3 linked regions of the Caenorhabditis elegans genome follow. The protein of the gene in region 2 interacts with the protein of the main gene of each other region in a pairwise test. Each region holds a gene or a part of one and is shown on either strand. Other genes may lie near its edges.

Evidence for each region. Proteins that work in one complex are often made in the same cells at the same time.
Region 1: the proteins of K02E2.7 (region 2) and F26A1.7 interact in a two-hybrid assay, tested with the Caenorhabditis elegans proteins (one large-scale study listed by BioGRID).
Region 3: the proteins of K02E2.7 (region 2) and K12B6.4 interact in a two-hybrid assay, tested with the Caenorhabditis elegans proteins (one large-scale study listed by BioGRID).

What each region holds. Positions count from the first base shown.
Region 1 is NC_003281.10:4,814,307-4,823,432, forward strand, and holds F26A1.7 (Membrane transporter protein), read right to left. Parts: upstream 5,638-9,126; coding exon 5,568-5,637; intron 5,503-5,567; coding exon 5,375-5,502; intron 5,314-5,374; coding exon 5,115-5,313; intron 4,777-5,114; exon of another isoform or gene 4,717-4,776; coding exon of another isoform or gene 4,620-4,716; intron 4,576-4,619; coding exon of another isoform or gene 4,331-4,575; intron 4,285-4,330; coding exon of another isoform or gene 4,130-4,284; intron 3,986-4,129; coding exon of another isoform or gene 3,862-3,985; exon of another isoform or gene 3,739-3,861; intron 3,542-3,738; exon of another isoform or gene 3,234-3,541; intron 3,085-3,233; exon of another isoform or gene 2,935-3,084; coding exon of another isoform or gene 2,922-2,934; intron 2,775-2,921; coding exon 2,133-2,774; intron 1,853-2,132; coding exon 1,734-1,852; 3' UTR 1,514-1,733; downstream 1-1,513. Other genes in the region: arl-6 (ADP-ribosylation factor-like protein 6), read right to left, coding at 289-508; F26A1.4 (non-specific serine/threonine protein kinase), read left to right, coding at 3,862-3,985, 4,130-4,284, 4,331-4,575, 4,620-4,716; F26A1.8 (Membrane transporter protein), read right to left, coding at 6,492-6,622, 6,734-7,583, 7,639-7,766, 7,812-7,920.
Region 2 is NC_003283.11:20,382,630-20,389,801, reverse strand, and holds K02E2.7 (Cilia- and flagella-associated protein 251-like), read left to right. Parts: upstream 1-2,759; 5' UTR 2,760-2,828; coding exon 2,829-2,894; intron 2,895-2,939; coding exon 2,940-3,023; intron 3,024-3,068; coding exon 3,069-3,203; intron 3,204-4,011; coding exon 4,012-4,128; intron 4,129-4,182; coding exon 4,183-4,234; intron 4,235-4,329; coding exon 4,330-4,548; intron 4,549-4,598; coding exon 4,599-4,679; intron 4,680-4,722; coding exon 4,723-5,033; 3' UTR 5,034-5,072; downstream 5,073-7,172. Other genes in the region: F53H2.1 (SH2 domain-containing protein), read right to left, coding at 1-66, 109-341, 1,268-1,327, 1,414-1,530, 1,661-1,789, 1,896-1,979, 2,022-2,087; K02E2.11 (Phosphatidate cytidylyltransferase), read right to left, coding at 5,570-5,607, 5,667-5,712.
Region 3 is NC_003283.11:6,278,780-6,284,874, forward strand, and holds K12B6.4 (Conserved plasma membrane protein), read right to left. Parts: upstream 2,497-6,095; 5' UTR 2,358-2,496; coding exon 2,295-2,357; intron 2,245-2,294; coding exon 2,131-2,244; intron 2,085-2,130; coding exon 1,698-2,084; intron 1,649-1,697; coding exon 1,601-1,648; 3' UTR 1,514-1,600; downstream 1-1,513. Other genes in the region: fil-2 (Lipase), read left to right, coding at 283-380, 426-1,132, 1,207-1,367; spe-49 (Dendritic cell-specific transmembrane protein-like domain-containing protein), read left to right, coding at 2,643-2,725, 2,768-2,951, 2,996-3,053, 3,105-3,284, 3,334-3,629, 3,676-3,771, 3,971-4,048, 4,094-4,327 and 9 more.

The DNA.
Region 1 (9,126 bases), on a different chromosome or scaffold from region 2:
AAATTATATTGTACGTTTCTACAAAGGCGCGAAAAATAATCATACCTACCGCATGCCTACACGCGTGCCTACTTCCAAATCTACATTTTGTTAACACATATTTCATCAGTTCAGGAAAACGACTTTAGTTGTTCAAGTTTATCAATCGATTAGTGGAATTTTTGAACTTGAAACTATAAAATTGCAATGACCGTTTCGAGCCCTACGCCGAAAAAGTTTTATAAATTACTGACCGAAAGATTCTACAATTTCAATATAAAATTTGAAATTCAAGCGTGTCTCACATACTTTGTCCTGCCATATCGAATGCATGAAAACTGAGATTTTGAGTACTGAAATTCGTAACCACGTGTCCAACAGTTGGCACAATCTGCTGACTTCTTGTCTCTGGAGTTTTGAGTTGATTCAAAATTGTAGTCTTTCCCGAGTTATCCAGTCCAACTACAACGATGTTCACATCCTTTTTTCCCAATCCGAATAAACTGGACAATGACGAAAAGAAGCCCATTGATCTTTTTAGATCTTAATTTCAAAGTATTTTCTAGATGATTAATCGATTTTGGGTGTCAATAAGTGACAGAATGTCATAATGACCTTTTCGGCAAGAGTTCAAAAAGGATTGAAAAAGAAATGAAGTATCAATAATCTGACAGATGGTTGGGGGACATACTAGGATATATTTTTAAACCGTTTTTTTTTTAATTAGGATCATTTGATAAGAATTGGGTGATAAATTAAAAACGTTAATTTAGTCTTGGAAGCTTAAAGTGTAAGAAAAAGATGTTCAGTGGAAGAAAAAATATAGTTTTATAAGAATAGTTTTGAAAACCTTTTTGATAATTACTTTTGAACTATCCAGTTTTATGTTTAACAAACTACTCTTTTTTTTAACTGAATTTTATCTTGCAGTATGTACTTGAGGTTGTTTCCAAATTTATCAACAAATATGAACATAATTTTCAAATCAATAAAATAATTTTCTACATTTTTAAAATTTATTAATAACAGTAACATCTAGAATATCGTGCAGAAAAAAGCACTTTAAAAAATTGTCGGATAATTTTGTAAATATGTCCTGCACTCGTCTACTACACATTGACACGCTGGCTTTCAGGTTATTCTGCAGACAGAAAAACTGTTTCATGACAAATATTTTGTTAGTTTTGTTAGTTGACAAAATTTTAATAAAACCAAAGACAGTCGGTATTAGCTGACAATTAAAGACTCGAAATATGTCCAAGTTTCTTGATCCTAACTTTCCTTCCTAACTCAAAATAATTCCCATAGCGACCTGCTTCCTTCCTTAAATTACGCAATACTCTTCCCTTTTTGACAGTTTCCGCCTGTCGATTTGGCAACTAATCCTGCGTTAGAGGGATTAATAAGGAAAAGGTACCGAAATCCATAAATTTCCAATTTTTGCGTCGTCTGGTAATAAAACTGTCACCTTGCTCGTGGTCAGAGAAGAAAAGGAAATAATGATAGAAAATAAAAGGGAGAGACAATTGTAATGTAAAATTCAATTTTATTATCAATTAAAATAATTTTCGAAGCTTCATAATATTCAAAAGCAAAATAAAAAAGAAGAATAAAGAGGTAAAAGTCGATATATTTCGCTTTGCATCTCAAGCAGGTAACCATGGAAACAAGCAAACAAGCAGGTGGTCATGAGGGGCAGAAAAAGAAGACAGAGAAGATACTAAACATTCGTTACATAAATGAAATTCTATTATTCAGATTTGAGCTTTCTCCAGTTGTTTTTGTTTCTCATTTTCAATTACCGTCTGCATAAGTGAAGCTCCCGCCTTTGACACAAAGAAAAAGAAAACGAAACCTCCGATAATGATGAGAGCTGTAATAGATCCGATTCTTCGATAGTATTTTCTTTGCTGTATAAAACGTATTTCTTTTACAACATACTAAAATTTTAGACTAATTCAAGTACGTTTAGACCTTTTTTGATTATAAAACTAGTTTGAAAAAAAAAACGCTAATCCTTTCCGCCTATATAGGATACACATCTAAGATTTTTTACAAAGGTTTTCATTGATTTTTTAAAATCCTCTTTGTATATTTTTCAAACAGAAAAACCCACAAGTTTTTAGTGATTAATATTTTATGAAAACACTTACCACCGACAACTATCAAATCCAAACCAGGATTAGTGAGTAAAAATCCAACCAGTGCAAAAGTCTCTAAAATATAAACAAACGAAGCAACCAACTGACGATGTAAATTTGATCCAATGAATGATCCAATAGGACCTCCACATGCAGAAATTGGCACAGTAACGGAAAAATATCTCCATGCCATAATATCAATATCTCCCATCATAACAGCTCTGTAGTAGAATCCAAAAACAGCAATAACTCCCTTGAGTACAACAGTTGTTGGAGTTGCAGTCTTTTCAGTTACACGGAATAAGAGAGTTATAACTGAAAAGATGCAAATATCAATTCCTGATCCAGCAAATGCATCAAATATTCCTCCAATAATTCCAGTAAAGAACAGAACCCATCCTTTCCATGCACAGAATTCTGGAATTTCACGGAATGTTGATCTCTTCTTTTGAGCATTCAAAATTCCCAATGCAAATGCAAATGCTGTCCAAATTGAAACGAAGAGCATTTTCTTTTGAGCTCCACTGAATAATGGATCAATATAATGAACACCAATAATAAATCCAGGTACTGCTCCAAGGCATCCAATTATAACTGCACGATGCTCGAACTTCACTTTCATAAAGAGCACGCAGACGAGTGCTGACGTCATTCCTGAAATTAAAGATTTATTTTTGAACGATCTAGCAATTTTTTGATAATATAAAGTTGGAACCTTTTTATTTTTTGGGAGTTTTATATTCAAGAAACCGACAGAAAAATTTTCCTAAGCTTCCATGTCAGGTAACTTTTCAGACTTACGTGCCTGCCTCATGCCTGCCTTACCAGCAGGCGTAGGCCACTTTGAAGGCTTAGAGGATAGCAATTCTGTAGTAAAATTGCAAATTAGCAACTACTGTATTTAGGTCTGGCACTACCCGGTGTCAGTTTTTTCTGTTTCACAGAATTTTATTCAGTAATTTTTCACGTCTTTTGATTTTTGCATTTTGATTTTAAAAGTTGAATTCCTCAATAAATTTATTTATTATTCAAACGTGACATTTTAGTAAAAATTAAATAGCGAACGGAGGGGGGGGGAAGGGAGGGGGAGGTGGAAATGTATATTCAATTATTTTGAATTTATAAAATTTAAAAAGCGGCAGCAGTTAAGAAGTAAGAAGAAAAGGAATGTCGTGCGAGAGAAAGGACGTGGAAAAGAAGGAAAAAGAAGAAAAAAAGGCCGATGAAAGTAAGAAGAAAGACGAGAAGAAGGAAGAGAAGAGCAAAGGGAAAGAGGATGAAAAGAAGGAGAACCAGAAAATTGCCGGAGCTGTCCACAATCAAATGAAGAACATCAACTATATGGCGGAAGGATCGGTGATTTCGGGAAGATTCGAAGTTGAGGGGATTATTGGCGGCGGAGGATTCGCCCAGATCTACAGGTTAGTTCTACTTTAAACAAATATTTTTGAACTCGTCTTGCTACAGGAGAGTTTAAGTTTTGTGAGCTTTCTTTCACCTAGTCTACTTTTCGTCTACTGTCGTTTTAGCTTAACGTTCAAAACGTTTTTGGAAGCTATAACATTAAAAAACAATCTGAAATCTAATTTTCTTATTTACTAACCTGGAACATTTTCAGAGCTTGGGATAAAGTTCGTAAAGAAGACTGCGCCGTCAAAGTGGAACACGCATCACAAGAACAAGAGATGTTCGAAGAGCTCTTCCACACAAACGAATCACGGATCGGACTCTTTACCGTGCAATGGCCCAAGTTCTGAAGGCTCTCGCGTTGGTCCATCGGGCAGAATTCTTGCATCGGGACATAAAGCCACCCAATTGTTGTATTGGTGCAACGGATTGTACTCGTATCTACTTGATTGATTACGGTATGGTTTTTTAAATTGAAAATGCGAGCATCTAGGGGGAAGAGCAAACTTTCAAACCTTAAAAGAAGCGCTCCTCCATGTTGCACCTGCTCGCCCGCGTCCCTACGGAGCAATGATGAATTACAACTTATGTTTATGTTTCAGTTCTGACACGCCAATACCTTGACAAGTGTGGAACCGTCCGAAACCCCCGTCCCGGACTTGGCCTTCGTGGTACAATGCGCTACATGAGTTTGGATGCTCATGCACGTCAGGACCTCGGCCCCAAAAACGACTTGGTTTCATTCCTCTACACAACTGTAAGCATATCAATGTATTTTCAAAAAAATAATTAAAATATTTCAGATTGAATGTGGAGATGGATGTCTTCCATGGTCGTACGAGAAATCCGAGGAAAACTGCATCAAGTTGAAGCAAGCCCATATTGGAGAGAAGCTGTGCATCAAGAAACCACTCATGACGAAAGCTGCAGAGTACATCGAGTCTCTGAACTATCACAGTATTCCGGATTATGAGAAGCTGCTCGCATTGATTGAAGAGTGCAATCCAGCGGATCTCAAGGAAAGCGAGCCTTACGAATGGCAGTACCGGTAGGTCAAGCTGAATAATTAAAAATATAATTGACACTTTTCAGTCAGCCTCACAATCCAATGACACCGACAACTGGCGAAGGACTTAATGGAACACCAGGTGGAACAAAAGAAAATGTGACCGAGCGGATGGCAAATTGAAAATAGATCTTTCTTCAAAACTCTTCTTATGTTCAATACATTTTTCTTCCATGAATTTTTTTTTCGTCATTTTCCAATACCCATCTTGCTTTTTAGATTTTCGGAAACAAAACAAATTTCTGCATTTACAGAAGCAAAATGAACATTTTTACTGAAACTAAGAGACTTTTTGATCGCTTCGAAACCCAGAAGATGAGCGGAAATTAATTATGGCAATTCTACAAAACAACCTGTGCCCGCAGGTGTGTCAATGTTTTTTCGTTAAAATTCAGTTTCAAATTTAGACAAAATGGAATAATTTTTTTCTATTTTATATAAAATTCAAGTTGGAATACCAGGAATACCAGGCTTACCCTGGAATTGAGCTTCAAAATAAGATTCTTTGAATATTTACCCACCCATCATCAATGCAAAATCTCTTGCAATATCTGGATCAATATGTAGTCCCAATGTCATAACAGGAAATGCCACCGCACCGGCTCCTTCTGACGTCATTCCACCAATCGTTGAGCCAAGTATCATTACAACTGGCATATGCCAAAACTCGGAGTAATATTGAAATAAATCATATCGAAATGCAATAGACCACCAAATCATCTAAATATTTTATTTTTAATTATATTAAATTTTTGAAGAAAGTTTATTTTAAAAAACTCACATGTATAAAAATCATGGGTATTAGCATAGCTGTAAAGTTGCGATATTTGATAAATAGAATATCATAAGTTGATGGATTTTCAGGTGGATTGATGACTTTTTCTGCTTGATCGTTTTCAAGTGTTTGACCTAAAGAATTAAAATTAAAATATTTTTCAATTAAAAAAAAAAGAAAAAAAACAAGATGTGCTAACCGTCTAACATATACTTTTTGCACCAATTTTTGACTCCACTTCCACATGATTTTTTGACGACTTTGCCCATTTATCTGAAAAAAAGTTAGGGTTAAAGCCTTTAGTTTGATTTCTTTTTCTGATTCAAATTCATAAAATCAATAATTAAAAAAAACAATTTATGAAAAAATTGGGAAACCAAAACTTCTTATCTGACAAATTAGATTAAAAATGTTTTCTCATAAATGACAAAAGTTTACTTGAAAGTATAAAACATTCAGAATAGTTTGAAAAAATGAAACTGAAAATGTTTCCAACGAAACAAAATTTGTTGAGTGCACAAGTTCTCAAACTTCTCATGTTCATGACGTTTTTTAGTTCAGAGGCAGATTACTGGCTGGAGGATGAACAGAGATTAAATGAGTGGCCAGATCAAATACTGAAAAATGAATAACTAGGGTGTTGTTGAGAAAAAGTTGTATAAAATATATCATTAAAATAAAGTAAGTAAGAAGGCATCACACCATTCTTCATTATTTTCAATTGAAAATTTATATTAAGTCTTACATGAATGACAGGCACTCAAGTGATGTGTTCATCCATTTTTTGTAATTTATAATTAAATCTATAATTTTGTATTATCACAATAATTTTTTAGATGGTACATTAGTTTTATTCGAAGGAAAAAATAACTTCTTTTGACAAACGTTTTGTTAAAAAATTTTATTAGAAAAATCATGGGCTTTGCAAACGTTTCTCTTAAAACTTTTCAATTGAAAAGTTAAAGTCAAAACAATTTTTTAAATCTTTATTTTAGACTATATTACTAGATACTGAAGAGATCACAACAAATTTTCACATAGAAAAGAGCGAGGTTGAACAAAATAAGGATTTAAACTATCAAAGCGAACCCGTTACGAAAAACAATTGGAATACATAAAATGTTTAATAAGTTCCAGAAGTGAGTCCAGCTTTTTGAGCAGCTTTTTCTTGGCGGATTTCAATACGGTTCATCAGAATAGATCCAGCTTTGGATAGTGCCGAGAAGAAGACAAATCCACCAAGGATGATGCAACCTAAAAAATTGGAAAAATAAAATATATTTTGTGAAGCTTACGGTGAATATTTGATAGAAATATGTAGATATCAAAGCACTAAGTAAGATACATTTTATACATTTTACTAACCTCCGACTGCAATAAGTTGCCATGCAGGCTTTGTACAGAGGAATCCAACAAGAGCAATTGCCTCAAGAACATACACAAATCCAGCCACAACTTGACGATGAAGATGTGATCCCAAGAATGATCCGATTGGTCCTGTTGCAGCAGAAACTGGAATCGAAACTGCAAAGTATCTCCATGCCATAATATCAATATCTCCCATCATAACAGCTCTGTAGTAGAATCCAAAAACAGCAATAACTCCCTTGAGTACAACAGTTGTTGGAGTTGCAGTCTTTTCAGTTACACGGAATAAGAGAGTTATAACTGAAAAGATGCAAATATCAATTCCTGATCCAGCAAATGCATCAAATATTCCTCCAATAATTCCAGTAAAGAACAGAACCCATCCTTTCCATGCACAGAATTCTGGAATTTCACGGAATGTTGATCTCTTCTTTTGAGCATTCAAAATTCCCAATGCAAATGCAAATGCTGTCCAAATTGAAACGAAGAGCATTTTCTTTTGAGCTCCACTAAATAATGGATCAATATAATGAACTCCAATAATAAATCCAGGTACAGCTCCAAGGCATCCAATTATAACTGCACGATGCTCGAACTTCACTTTCATAAAGAGCACGCAGACGAGTGCTGACGTCATTCCAATCGATTGAATCATCAATGAAAAGTCTCTTGCTATTTCCGGTTTGATGTGAAGAGCAAGAGTCATTACAGGGAAAGCCACAGCTCCGGATCCTTCAGAAGTCATTCCACCAACAAAAGATCCAAGTGCCATGGTAACTGGCATGTGCCAATAATCATTGTAGAATTGGAAGAGATTATGACGAATTGCAGTAGACCACCAGATTGTCTGAAATTGAATTTTTGAATAATTTCGTTCATAATAAAAATATTCAAAAAATTACATGAATCAGAAGGAATGGGATCAACATTGCGACGAATTTCCTGTATTTTATGAAAACCAGATCTCCAAATGTTGGATTTTCAGGAAGATTTGCCATTTTATCAGCTTGACCTTCTTCAAGATGTTGACCTGAAATTATTACCTTAAAAACTGTAAAATGTTTGAAAAAGTTACCTTCGAGAAGATATTTTTTGCACCATCTCTTTACTTTTCCACCACAAGTGAGCGGCTCCTCTTCAGTATAGGGCATCTTCTCGAGCTCCATTGGTCGGATCGAGGCCATTTTCAGACAAGTTATAGAAAATAAGTTGGTTGGTGGTTCAATTGTTTGATCGCAGCTTTTTATAAGAATCAAAATAATGGGCGGAACTTGGAAGTAGGAGTACGGTAGGAGGATAGCAACGGAAATGATAAAGACACTGTCCGAGACAAAGAGGTCATGTTTGCGCCTTTAAATGGGCGGAGTTTCAAGTTCTGTCTTTTTGCGTCGAAATCTCTTGTTCTATGAATTTTGTCGATGACCTCGACGCGGTTTTGTCGCTGAATGTTGAAAGATCACAAATGTCTAGGTCTCTCAGATTTGCTTGTTATTTCTCAATGTTTTGTATAATTCTCTGGAGGCTCCGTGATTAGAGAAAAGATGATGAATATTTATTCATAGTTAATTTGGTACTATGCATCTAGATGTGTTTTTTCTCTGGACTTCGTTTTTCTGGTATTTTCAAAAATGTAGGTTCAGGTATCGGAATTAAAAAACCTTTCCCCACCAAACACATCATGTGGTCAAAAACATGGTTCGAAAAATTTTAAGTGGTTTTCAAAAAAAAATTAAGAAGTTCTAAAATAGCAGAATACGCCAAAATGATTTATAAATCCCTAATAAATGACAAAAATTTTTTTTAATTCAGAAACCATCTGAAAATTCAAATATTTTAATTTTTTGGCTGGTCTTTTCAATACTGGAACTTTTCCAGAAATTTCGAATTTTTCCATAAGTTTCGAATGGTTAGAAAATTTGGAAGTTTTATACAATTAAAAAAATCTTTTGTCTTTTGCAAGCTAAAGTTATGCTTCAATAAATCTTGCAGAAATGTTTTAAAATATCAAAAATGAGTATGAGTACAACCTTCTCTAGTCACTACATCAAAATTATATTGAGAATCAAACCGAAAAAAAACTGTTTGAGATTGCGATGAACAAAAACAAAGCCCTCCATCGTCATCAAATCTATCTAGTTTATCCCTCATCATTTTTTGTTTGAAATTTCCAATAACTCATTCAAAAAACAACACCGCTCCTTGGCTGATTCCATCCAAACTTTGCGCGTCGACAAAGCAAAAAGAATCATGTTGATAATTGAAAAAAAAGAAGATAAATCTTCTAATTTACATGAATGACCATTTGTGGTCGATGGACGATCATCTATTATCTCAAACTTCTGACGGTTCAATGTTGGTTTGATGACGTCGACACAGCAAGTTGTGATCAG
Region 2 (7,172 bases):
CATTGCATTTTTTGTTGAAAATTGTTGTTTTCAGCTTGTTGATTTGAGTTACAACTTTGCGATAGGCTGAAAATGAAACGTTTTATTGATTGTTTTCAATATACTCACAAAGTATTGATATGTCCACTTTGTGGTTGAAGCTGTTCAGCGGACAAATTCTTTAGGCACTGTGACTGCGAGAACAATGAGTCATCTACGTATTTTACAACAGTGCGGCCGTCTGATTCTTCATAGACGATTTTTAAACCTCCATAACTCCCCATTTCACTGCATGTGGTTATCTGCGTATGTGATGATGGCCACAAAAGGTTTGATTGGTCGTTTTTAGACTTATATATTTTCTGAAACTTGAATGTGGGCAGCTTTATACAACAGTGCCGGCCAATATTCTATTCACTTTCGGTTGTTCAAACACGTGTAACTCAAAAACTAAGATAGTTAGCAAAGTATTTTAAACTAAAAAACATGTTGCCGATTACTTGTTCTACATTTTTTTATTTTGAAAAAATTATACAACTCTGTTCCAAAAGAAAATTACAGCAACTGAAATCCGGCTGGTCCATTTTTGACTAGAATTTCTAATTGATTCACAATTTTAAAATTAGATATGTTCATGAAAGAAAGTTTAATGAAAAAAGAATCTCCACAAAGTTGTATACTTTTTGCAATTTGCTATTTTGTTACGAATAGACCAGGAAATGTTATACAAACGATAAAAAATAAAGCACAAAATTCGAAATTTTAAGCAAGTTCTGAAAATTGCGTTCAAATGTTTCACAGAGCAGTTTTTTCATCAAAAGCTTAAATAGTTGCAAAATGTATGAAATTGTTTGAACTCAGAATTTAATTTCAAAAAAAGTTTTGTTCGCATTATGAGAGAAAGCTGTCAATTCTGACCCTTCTAATGTAGGTTTAATCTTTTTATAAATGTTCCTGAGCACTTTGGAACAAAAAACAAATTGCAAAATGTAGACGCAATTGTGGATATTGTTTTAATATTAAATGTTGTTTCATGAAAAAATTCCTGTCAAAATACAAACGCGCCGAATTTCAGCACCTAGAACATTTTTCTGAACATAGTTATACAAATTTGGCAACTTTGAAAGTGTAGATAAAGTAACCGTAAACATTTTGTTAAATAAAAATAATTTGCTAACTGTTATAGTTTTTGAGCTACACATGTTCGAAGAGCTGAAGCAAATCACCGAAAACTTGGAAATGAATAGAATATTGGCCGGCACTGTATGTAATAAATTCGCATTCCTACCGTATTTTTGTTTCTTTCGTGACGTAGGAGGCTCTTAACATTCAAATCCCGGTCATGAAACTGCAATACAATTGTCTCTCAATTTACACAAAGTCGAATAAAAATATTTGGCAAATCTTACTGCCAAGACAAATTTTTAAACTTACAGTAACATACAATTTGTCATCCACAACAACATAAGTGTAACATTTCTGTTGATCCCTGGCTTGTTTCAAGACATAATCAACAGACTCCCGATACTTCCAGTAGAACCTATCCCAATCCTGCAAAATTAATCAACTTTTAAAGCCAACTACTAGAAACATTTGTTTTAAATAGATATCTGACTCGAAGCCAAGCAAAAAGACGGAAAGTGGGTTTCATCATATTAAAACTTATCAAAATGAAACCCACTTTGTTTGAAATAGCCCATTCAACGTCTTCGTAGAATTTACCAACGTATCCAGTATAATTTCGGTGAGGATTAAGTAGATACTTCAAACATTCCATAAAGTTATGAGCGCAATATGTGACCGTGTAGTTCTACAAAATGTTTAAACTCTTGTGATTCCACAGAATTTGCACAGAAGTAACAATAAATGAATCTTCTGGTGAACAAGACTTAAACTAACTGAAAACTTGAAGTTACCTTTGGTAAATCGACAGTTTTTAAATTCTCTGATAGTTTTTTGAATTGGGCACTGTAGAAGTTATAGAATTTTCTATATTTACTCTGAAAAATTAGAAATTGAGTTATCACTTAATTTTTTCCTACTTTTTGGGAGCATTCATTGAAGAGTTGTATCATTTCCGGTGTAATATAAAAACAAGCGAAATCCATTCTGGGAATTTCACGAATTTAACTTGTAAGCACTGCGGAAAGTTATCAAGAAACAAAATGTCAACTGAACTGATGTGCTGAAAGAAAAAAACCAAAGGTTAACTTATTGCTAGGCCTATGTTGAAAATCGATCACTGATAACAGTTTGTTTGTGGAAACATTTTGGAGTGAGGAATCGTTCAATATAGTTTGTAATCAACCTATAGGTTGCAGAAATTGTATGAGGAGTGTTTTTATTTGAAAAAAAGTTTGCCGTACATTCACTAAAGTAAAAAAAAACATGAATTTTGATTTGAGTTGTGCTTTTTTTTCAATTGAGAGACTTTTAAGTCTGTCGATTAAAAAACTAATAAGAAATTCGTAACTTAAAATGAGTGAAGATCGCATAATAATAATTTTCCAATAATTCCAATACAAGAAGTCAGCTATGATCTTACAAAGGCCAGAAGCAGGATGTGAAAATTTTTCAGTTTTAGCAATCGTACAAACAAATTGAATACTCTTTACTTTCTGAGCGGTTAAAAACTGATAACAGAATAATGTACTAGGAATAGATATTTCAGTTTAACATCACTATTAATTCCTTAGATGTGAAAACTCCTCGTTTGGTTTTTCTGCATAAACATCAAACTCTTATCAGTAACTTCCAACATAGACATACATAGCAATACTTTTCGAGTCACAGTTTTGTAATTGACATATTTTTTCTTGCTCATTAAATTCTATTAATTCGATTTCATAATGGAAATTCCATCTTTTCATATTACACCAGATATGAGAAACTTATTCAGTGAATGTGTTAAAGAAGTAAGGTAGTTTCCAAATTGATGACTTAATTCTTAACTTTTTCAGGGAAGTTATAAACTTTTCTACGACTTATACAAGAGTGAGTTCGAAGATCTAGCCGTACATTTGAAAACTGTCAGACTACCGGAGGTAACTCAGCTTTTACGGCGCAGTTGATAAAAAGTAACGTTCAAGGACACCGTACTCCACTACTGCGTAAGCAACTTCATGGAATGCGTGGAATATTTAATTCATACTGGCCGCGGATACAACTATTATGGTCACGTTTTTAGCTTTTACAGGGATGTTGACTGGGCAATTTTAAATGGAGTGAGTTTAAATTAATTTGATTTACATTTGAGCCACTTTCTTATAAAAATACACATTAAAGGTGGACTACACCCTGTGGGGAAATTGCTTTAAAACATGCCTTTGGGGTCACAATGACCGAATATCATGATGAAAAAATTTTAATAAAATTTCTAGGTTTTAAATGATTTTTTGAAAATTGAGAAAATCTCAGTTTTCCCCTAATTCCTATTTGAATTTCCGCCAATTGAATTCGTTCGATGGAGCGCGCTTGCATTATTTTCATAATTTTTTTATTTTATATTCATTATTTCACTGAATTTCTTTATTTTTTGGGGGTTTTTCATCGGAAAATGAAAGAAATAAACAAGAAAGAAGCAAAATGTTTATTTGAAAGTAATTGAAAATGCCTTAAACTCTGAAATTATGCGATCCGACGACGATGAGCCTGAAATTAATATTATTCAGAGTTTTAGGCATTTTTAGTTACTTTTTAATAAACATTTTGCATTTTTCTTGTTTATTTCTTTCACTTTCCGGTAAAAAATCCCCAAAAAATGAAGAAAATCAGTGAAATAATGAAAATAAATAAAAAAATAATGAAAATAATGCAAGCGCGCTCCATCGAACAAATTCAATTGGCGGAAATTCAAATAGGAATTAGGGGAAAACTGAGATTTTCTCAATTTTCAAAAAATCATATAAAATCTAGAAAAATTTTTTACATTTTTTATCATGATATTCGGCCATTGTGACCCCAAAGGCATTTTTTAAAGCAATTTCCCCACAGGGTGTATGTAGTCCACCATTAAATAATGTTTGACTTCAGGATTGGAGCAGATTTTACTGGAAATTTCGCGACTCCGTAGATTATGTTATAAAGAAAGCAAGAGAGCAACGGAAAATTCAAATTTATGTTGTTGAAGGAAGTGCACGTTATTCTTCTGTAAGTCATGCCTAGTTCCCAAAGATTGAACGTTTCTGACTTATTTCATTGCAGTTCCGTAGCCGTGATCGCAAAAATCCCAAAGAAAATTCTCCAGAAACTCGAGGTATGGTTTAATTTTTTTTAAGTCTAAAAAAAATTCAGCACAACCCTCTGATAATCTAAAACTAGACGTCTTAGTATCAGAAAACTCTGATTTAGTCCAAAAACCAGTCCTGGAAGATTTTGAGAAAAAATCGCAAGAGCGGGAAAATCGAAGACGAGAGCTTGAAGAGGAGCTGAGGAAACTGGATCTAGAGGAAAAAGAGCAACTGGCTATGATTTCAAACTTCAAAAGCCCGGAGCCGGAACTTCAACCAATTTCCCCGCCACCCTCAATACATGATGACCTTATAAATGACATGGATGGCGGAATGTTTGGTTAGCTCACACTTTTGAAAAAAACAACTTGTTTAAAAAAAAGTTTGTAGGTTCTGAAAAAACTGACGATTCAAGTTTGGAAGACTTGCAGCTTCATGTACAAGAAATGGACAAGAATACTATGTTAACAGGTTAGTTAAATTTTTTATTATGTATAAACATGTGTATGTACAGAAAATTTCGATCAAGATCAAGAAGAACTGAAACTTTTTGTGCAAGAACTAGAGCAAAACGCTGCTGAAACAATTAACAATTCCTCTCACCAACTCGAAAATGCTCTGAAAGCTGAAGAAAATATTGAAACTGAAATCTCTGAAGAAGAAGCTAGCGACGATGAAGAGGAAGACAATTTCCACACAATGCTCCAAGAACAAGCTGCACGTCACAAGGAAGAAATGGAAAAAGTCATGAAAAAACGGGCGGAGCAGAAGAAAAAGCTTGAGGAGCTAAACAGAAAAGTTAATGCAATAGTTTTTTACAAATAACTTAAGTTAGGTATTGTGTTCTTAAATCCTCACAATAAATCTCTCACTTACTATATATTTCGAAAACTTGCTTATTCATTGCGAATTTCAATTTTTCATAAGAAAATCTGGTTCATAGAACTTTTAACCTTTTAACCGATGTCATTCTAAACACTTTTGGTATTTCATTGACAGGTTCTGAAATTTGTTAAATAATTTTAAAACTTTTTGAAAAATTTCGAAAATTTTTTTTGGAATTCTCTGAAACTTTTTAGAATTTTTAGAATTTACTTTTTAAAATCTGTATTTTTCTGAAATTATTTAAACACTTTCTGAAATGGCTCTTTTTGTAGAGTTTTCAGACCTTTTCTGGAATTTTCTGAGCAAACTTCTAATATTTCATTGAGTGTCTATTAAAATTATTTAAACAATCGATTCATTGACAAAAAATAAAAAAATATGAACAGATATTCTGTATGAGGTGTCTAAATAAATTTTAAAAATCAAATTAAAACTTGAGTAGATATCGTGTATGAGGTTTCACAACCCTTCCATCTTTAAAACCCGTTGCAGATAACTGGTACAAGGATTATTTCTGAAAAATAAAGAAAATTATTGTATAAGTATGTACATATTTTTTCTCTAACTATGTACCTTGAAAACGCTTCGAATAGTTATTCAATTTCGCCTCCAGGTCCATCTACAAACAACATTCCTGAAAAAAAATTGGAAGTGAGAATTTTTTTCAAATTTAACGCTAATATTTGATTTTCCAAATTAAAAAAAGATAAAATCTTCAAAATTCCAAACAACCGATACAATTTTGGCCAAAACGAGTTTGAAAAGATTTTGAAGGGTAAATTTGGAAATTGTTTCAAGTTTTACTAAGCAACCAGGAAATTTTTCGCGTTATAGGGTTGATTTTTTTGGAAAAAAACTGATGTAAAATTAGCAGGTTCACATATATTTTCGCTGGATGTTGTTAATGAATTTGATGTGGAAATTGTGAATTTTTATCTATTTCAGCTCAATTTTTGGCGGGAATTCAAATTTCTGTCAAACAATTTTAGCGGAAATTTGAATTTCTTTATACAGCTGGTGTTATAGCCTCTCCGAATGTCTCGGGAGTAACTTCTGAAAAAAAAAGTTTTGGCGAGAATTCAAATTTCTGTCAAACAATTTTAGCGGGAATTTAAATTTTTTCTAGAACATTTCATTTCTATTTTAAACCATTTTCCTTTGAAAAAATCTTATAAAATAAGAATTTTTGTGGGAACACTACAATTTCTAATTCAAAATCTAATTTTTCCTCATTTTCAACTATCTAAAAATAATAACTCACCGTTTTCAAGAAAAATCCATAAAAATTAGAAAAAAATCAGCAGAAAATAAAGACCCTCACACAAAGAGTCATAGTAAATATTCGAAATGAGTCGATTGTGGTCTGAACGGTGAGGCTGGAGAGACGAGAGAGACGAGAGAAACAAGGAAATGAGAGAGACGTGGCAGACACGAGACACAGATTTTTCCAACGCGGCAAGAGTGAGGAAGGGAGGAGATAGTGTGTGGGAAGATGAGAGTCGATGGGAAAAAGTAACGGGAAGGCCGGTGGGATTTACAATGGGAAATTGGATGACAAATGTGCATGGGAAAATAGGAATTGTACAGTATTGTCTGGAATTTGTGGAAAATTCCAAAATTTGCCCAAGTCGTGTGAAACGTCGGAAGATATTTTTTAAAAGTTCTGAAATCTTTTGAAGATTTCTAATGTTTTTTTGAAAATGTCTGAAGTTTTTTGAAGTTTTCTGGAAAATTCTGACAAATTCCGAAGCTTTCTAAAATTTTCTAAAATTCAGGCAAAACTTTGATGAAACTTTTTGCAACTTACTGAAATTTTCTGAAATTCTCTTAAGTTTCCCAAAATTCTCAGAAACTTTTTTAAAACTTTCTGATTTTTTTTCTGAAATTTTCTGGAGCTTTCTGAAAATTTCTGAAATTCTAGGAAAGTTTTTGAATCTTTTTGCAACTTTCTGAAACTTTCTGACACCTTCTGAAGTTTTTTGAAACCTTCTGAAGCTTTGTAAAATTTCCTAAAACTCTCGGAAATTTTTTGAATCTTTTTGCAACTTTCTGAAACTTCCTAAAACTTTCTAGAGCTTT
Region 3 (6,095 bases), about 14 Mb from region 2:
GACAGACTGCACTCCTATAGATGCTCAAACATCGATGTCTTCTACTCCTACCTAATAAAACATCGCATAGTAATGATATCACATAAACCTACACATGTTTGATTATTAGTTTTATCTTTCTTCCTCGGATACGGTCTTCATCTGATACTCAATTTGCGTAAATCAGCTTCTCGCCTACACAACGTCAGTTATCAGTGTGCAGGACGCAGTTCATAACACACGCCGATGAGGTGTGACCCTATAAAAAGCAAAGCCGATGCCGTGCTCTTCAATCATTCCATCATGCTCTTCTCACTTTTCGCTTTTCTTGTAATCAGCTGTCAAGCAGCATCAGGCGTCAACGGACCATTGACTACAGATTTTCAGAATTGGCTGAAAATGTGAGTTCAAATCCTATTTGTGTCTGAAAAAGAGTTAAATTTCAGTAATGGTTATGACAGCTATGATTTCGTTCGAAGCGATTATGGAGTCAAAGGAAGTTATGGTGGTTTTACTAAAACCATCACTAAAGCAAGTAAAACTCCTGTAATATTTATTCATGGAAACTCTGACAGTGCACTTAAAACATCATCAATGGCCACAGGTTGGGACAACACCATTTCATACTTTTCAACTCAAGGATTTACTTCTGCGGAATTATATGCCACATCTTGGCAGGATACAAATTCTCTAAAAGCTGAAACAAGAACACATGATTGCAAAGATCTGACTCGTCTACGAAAATTCTTTGAAGCTGTTCTAGCATACACAGGATATGCTAAAGTATCGGTGATCAGTCACAGTATGGGAGTGACTCTTGGAAGAAAGGTTATACAAGGTGGAATTGTGAATGGGACTGATGGAAACTGCAATTTGGGAGTATCAATCAGTGGCAAAGTTGATGTGTTCGTTGGAATTGCTGGTGCTAACTATGGTCTTTGTGGATGCGCAGGAACAGTCGGCTTGTTTGCTCCCACTTGCAACAAAAAGAATGGCTTTTGGCCTGGAGATTCGTGTGGAGGCTATACATCATCATTCTGTGGTTATTCATCTACTCCCTGCAATGGAATTTCCAAATACTCGAACCTTCTCAATGATATGAACAACTCGAACAAAAAGGAAGCCTCTTACATTTTCAGTACTTGGAGTAAAGGTTTGTTATAATTTTTTATTATAATTTTTTCTTTTCGTTTCATTTTTCTATCGTGCTTAGTTTTTATTTTTTAGCCGACGATCTCATTGGTAACAGTGATATTGTATGGGGCCGACCAACTTCTCTCATCCCACTCAGCGACGGAAAGATCATTTACGAAAAACTAACTCATATGCAAAGCAAAGAAAACACAGCGATCGACCAGTACAAAATGGTCACTTCTAAGAAAGTCTGATGTATTGAAACAGAAAGTTTCAGTTTGCATGTCTGTAAATTATCATTGTGTATGTCATTAATCTGTGTGTATCGGTAAAATAAACCCCTCGTTGAAAATGTGTGATGATTCGGGATTATTGTTGAGCAGTGCTGATAAGGTTTTTTTTTTCTCGTTTTATTTATGAAAGATTAAAATGTCACATGTTCAAAGAAATTTATGAATTCCTGCAAATGTTGAAAAAAATCACACAATTAATACGCTTCATCATGATACCCTGTCCTCGCACGAGATTGTATGAACTGAAAATCCATTATTATTATTTCTAAATTTTCTAATAGATAGGTTTACTTTTGGAACTTGATGACCGTAACGATTCCGGAGAAAAGTGTGATATTTAGAAATGAATATGATGAAGAGAAGACAGCATATACATGCAAAAAGGCACAGTCCCATCACATAAATAATGATTGTTTCCTCATACTCATCAGTCCTATAATCCTTTGAAACAACCAATATCCGCGCGAGAAGAACTCCAAATGCCAGAAGATTCATGAATATTCCGACGACGAGAGCCGTGAAGTTTGGCACCACAAACACAGGACGATAATATTTGAATGACAAGACAAGGATGAGAATTGAAAAAAGCCAAAATGATCCGAATCCGACATACCAAGCCATGCCGAGCTCTACCCAAGACTCACTCCAGATGGTTGCGTTGAATTTTAGAGTACCATTCTGAAATTAATACAGTAATCAAATGACAATTTATTCTAAGATTTACCGCAGCTGCCTGTGCTGTTGCATTATAAGGAGTTCTGGGATACACAGTCTGCCATGTTCGATAACGATCAAGAATAAGACCAGTACTTGAAAGGGTCAGCACAAGAACAATGAGCTGAAAATTGCGAATGTTTTTGATTTCCGTTAGTTGAATAGCCAAATTACCTGAAGACTGGTTACAACTCCAGCAGATGTTACAACATTACACCCGCACACTTTATCAGTCATTTTTAAAAAAAGTTGTTTTCCAAGGGGATTAGGAAAAAATAACAACGAAATAAGTGAAGAAGCTTGTGGAAAAGCGGGAATATGAGTTTCAAATAGAACCACTGAAGAATATTTAACGATAGTTTCTTTTGTTATTGAAAAATCCCCATTGTTTTTAAACAAACCAAAAACTCCATGGAAACGTCTCCACGCGTAATTGTACGTGATGTCTTCTTACGTTTCAAGTCAAAAACACAGGGAAATGGACAATGATTGCGTGGAAATCAATTATTTCGAAGTTTTCAGATGGGATTTTTCGATGATAAAAAACGGGATGAAGTTCGAAGACGAGAAAATATAGGTTTTCTGACAGACTATTTGGTTAGAAGGTAAGAAAACGTTAAGGAAACAATTCTTACTGATAATTTCAGCGAAGTGAGTGATTATTACCGCCTCCGGCTTCTCGTGAACTTTCTGTTCGGCCTCTTGATTTCCTCCTCCCTTTATCATGCTGGCTGGAAAAACTTGAACTTTGGAGATTTTGACTATACTTATGGGCTGATCGTTAAATGGACTATTGTTGCTTTCTCCACTTATGCCTTTGCAGTGAGCCCGGTTTGAAAAACCTCTAATTTATGAAATAAGTTAAAATTTTCCAGATTTTTCGATGTGCTCTGTTTTGTGTATTAATTGGCGCGTTTGGCAAACAAGGACAATGTAAAGCTTTGATAATTTATTTGCGGAATGACTAGAATAACTTATTTCTAGATCCGTTCACTATGTTAGTTATGAGCAACCTCCAAGAGGGACCAATTTCAAATATGATGTCAAACTATGAAACAACGTCTGAGATTGTGATGTGTCATATTGAGTTACAATCCAAGATCACTGCAAATCGTGTAGCTTTATTAACAGGGCCATTGGAGGAGTTGATCGAAAAGTTGATGGGTAACTATATTGTTAACTAATAACCTCTTTGAACAAAAAGTTATTTCAGCAAAAGGAATTCGAGCAATGAAAGCAGTTTCTCGAGAGACTAGAGCTCTGATAACACCTTTTATGGAACTTCTAAAAACTGAGAAGACTAAAATAGACAAGAAAATTGAAATTGAAAGAGGACAATTGGAAGATATCGAAAAACGGAAACAACGAATCTTGAAGATGTGGGAGAAGTCCATGAATCGATCGCTTACAGAGGAAGATCAGATTGCCGGGGAGCTGTTACCTGCTGAAGATCTTATAGACAATGTTACCATTGGAGAGCCTCCAGTCTGGAAGAAATTTAAGACACCGGTGGGTGCAAGTGAAACTGAAAAGGATTTATTGGAGAACATTTCAGCTTATTCAAAAAATGGCAGATAAGATGTCTAGAAACTGTGAACAGATGTTTAATAAGGGAATCGATAAGTGCAGAAATCTTGCTGCGGAGCTTGTGGTATGAAACGTTACACAATATAGTTATCTTATTTCAAGATAATCGTTTCTTTTCTCAAAATTATCCATTTTACCGTTCTGTTCGTTTTTAGAAAAAAAATTAAATGAACTTTCGAGAAAAGAAACTTTCTCGTAAGAACCCTAACTCTAATATTTTTCTCTCTCTCTCGGTGATGTTTCGATATGATATTTATTTTCAGTCTTCGTGTAAAGATGCAATTATTTGGCCTATTGAAGCATTCATCTGTCCCAAATTAAACGTCGAAGGCGTCTGCGATGTAAATTTTTCCCAATAATTCAACTGCCTAATCACAAATTTTCAGGCAGTCGAAAGAAGGGTTCAGTCCATGAATATTTGCAGAAATCAGCTGGAGGAAAGTCACGTGGATCCATCTATCGAAAAAGATGTTACTGATGTGATGAAATTGACAGAGGAACTGGAACAAAACAGTAATATTGAATTGCATTCTGTTAGGGTTGAAACGCCACGAGTAGCCATTGAATATAGACTTTCGGATTTGAAAATCAAAATTCGAGCTGCTAATCTTTATTTCAAGGTATTTCATTTTATTTTATTACTGCTATGAATTCCGTTTTCAGAGTATTGTTGGAGTTTCAAAGCAAATCTTTCAAGCATTCTTTATATACTTTGTCTATACCATTTTTCGCGATTCTGTCGGGATGATCCGGAAGTATCAGGAGGACGTCGCATTTTCCAATTCTTTTGTTACAAAGTTATTAATTCAATTTACAATTGGGTTCTCAAATGACTTGATTTTCAGAGAGTTTTGGATGATTGATAGATTTCGACAAGCTCGAGGACAAACTCACTTATCGCATTTTTCAAAGCAAGAGAAACGTGAGTGGCGAGTAATGGAAGTATTTAGGTGATTGTCTAAAACAAACAATATAATTTACTCAAAATATTTTCCAGTTTACCAACAAAAGCAGAAAGATCAAAAGCAGTTCGTCCATTTTTCCGATGGTTTATTCTAGCTCTTACCGTGTCTGTCATTATTATTCTCGACTATTATTTGTTTGTTTTCCTTGATTCGGTATGCTAAAATTAGACATTTAACTGCGTAACAATATCTATCTTTAGGTTGTCGAGTCGGCTAGACAACAGGTTAAGCAGAAAGCGAGTGCTCCCGCTGGACTCAATATTACTGGTGAAGGAGTTCTCGCAGATTTTCTCAAGACAATGACATCGACTAATGAAACACTGGAAGTTGATCAGGTTGGCGAGAAGGAAAATTTGATAACCTATTGATATTTTCAGACGCTTTCCAATGAGCATTGTTTGCTGAAGCCATTGGCACCGAATACGGATATTCTGATCTACTGGCTGGTGATTCCACTGTTGTTGTCATTTTTGTTTCAGGTACAAAATCTTTGGAGCTTTTCAAAAAATTACACTTTTTGAATGACTATAGCCGTTCCACCTATTGAGGCATAATCGGGTGCCTCTCACTCGTAATTTCACTCGCCCTCTTTGAAATTTGAATTTGATTGTGTAATTGAAACAACATGAGACATAGTGTCTTATAAACTCACTTGTTCCTTTCAGGTTGTGTTTTCATTTGCAATTCGTAGAATTGTGCTCAACTACTTTCTCCCCTTCATGTTCCCAATGCGATCAAAAGTTCGACTCATTCAATTTTATAACAAAGTTCATAAAATCATCATTTTCGCGATAACACACAACTTTTTCAGTGTCTGGTTAACCGTGAGAAGCATAGAAAAGAAGCAAGAGCACGGATTCGTTTTATGGTGGATCGAAGAAGAATCGAGACGCTGCGAAAAGGGTATTCTGAATTTGCAAAGTGTTTATCGTATGAGTTTTGAATTCCAGAGAATTTTCGGCTGGAGGCTCTTTTCTGAAACAACACGTCTTCGAAAGAATTTTCAAGACAGCAAAATGTTTTTTATGCCAAGAGAAGACTTATGCAAGGAAACTGTTCTATTGCGCTGAAGTAAAGTGTCAATCCAGTTTTTGTAAGGATTGTGTTGAGGACAACTTTGGAAAATGCTATTCGTGTATGTTTATCAAAAAAGAAGTCACTGATCAGAAATCCAAACTATTGGTATGCAATTTTAAATTTTAAAATTCTAGCAATCTTTTCAACTAGTTTATCTCCTCTTTCATTTTCAGAATCCCGACGAAGTAAAAACGAAGGATCAATTTTTGTCATATGGAGAATTTTTGGAAAGAATTCAACAAGATCATATGCAGAAGTGACGATGCTTCTAGTATTCAAATCTCATCAACAAAGAAATCATAAAACACGTTCAATTCAATTTTTATTGTAAATATTTCATGAACTT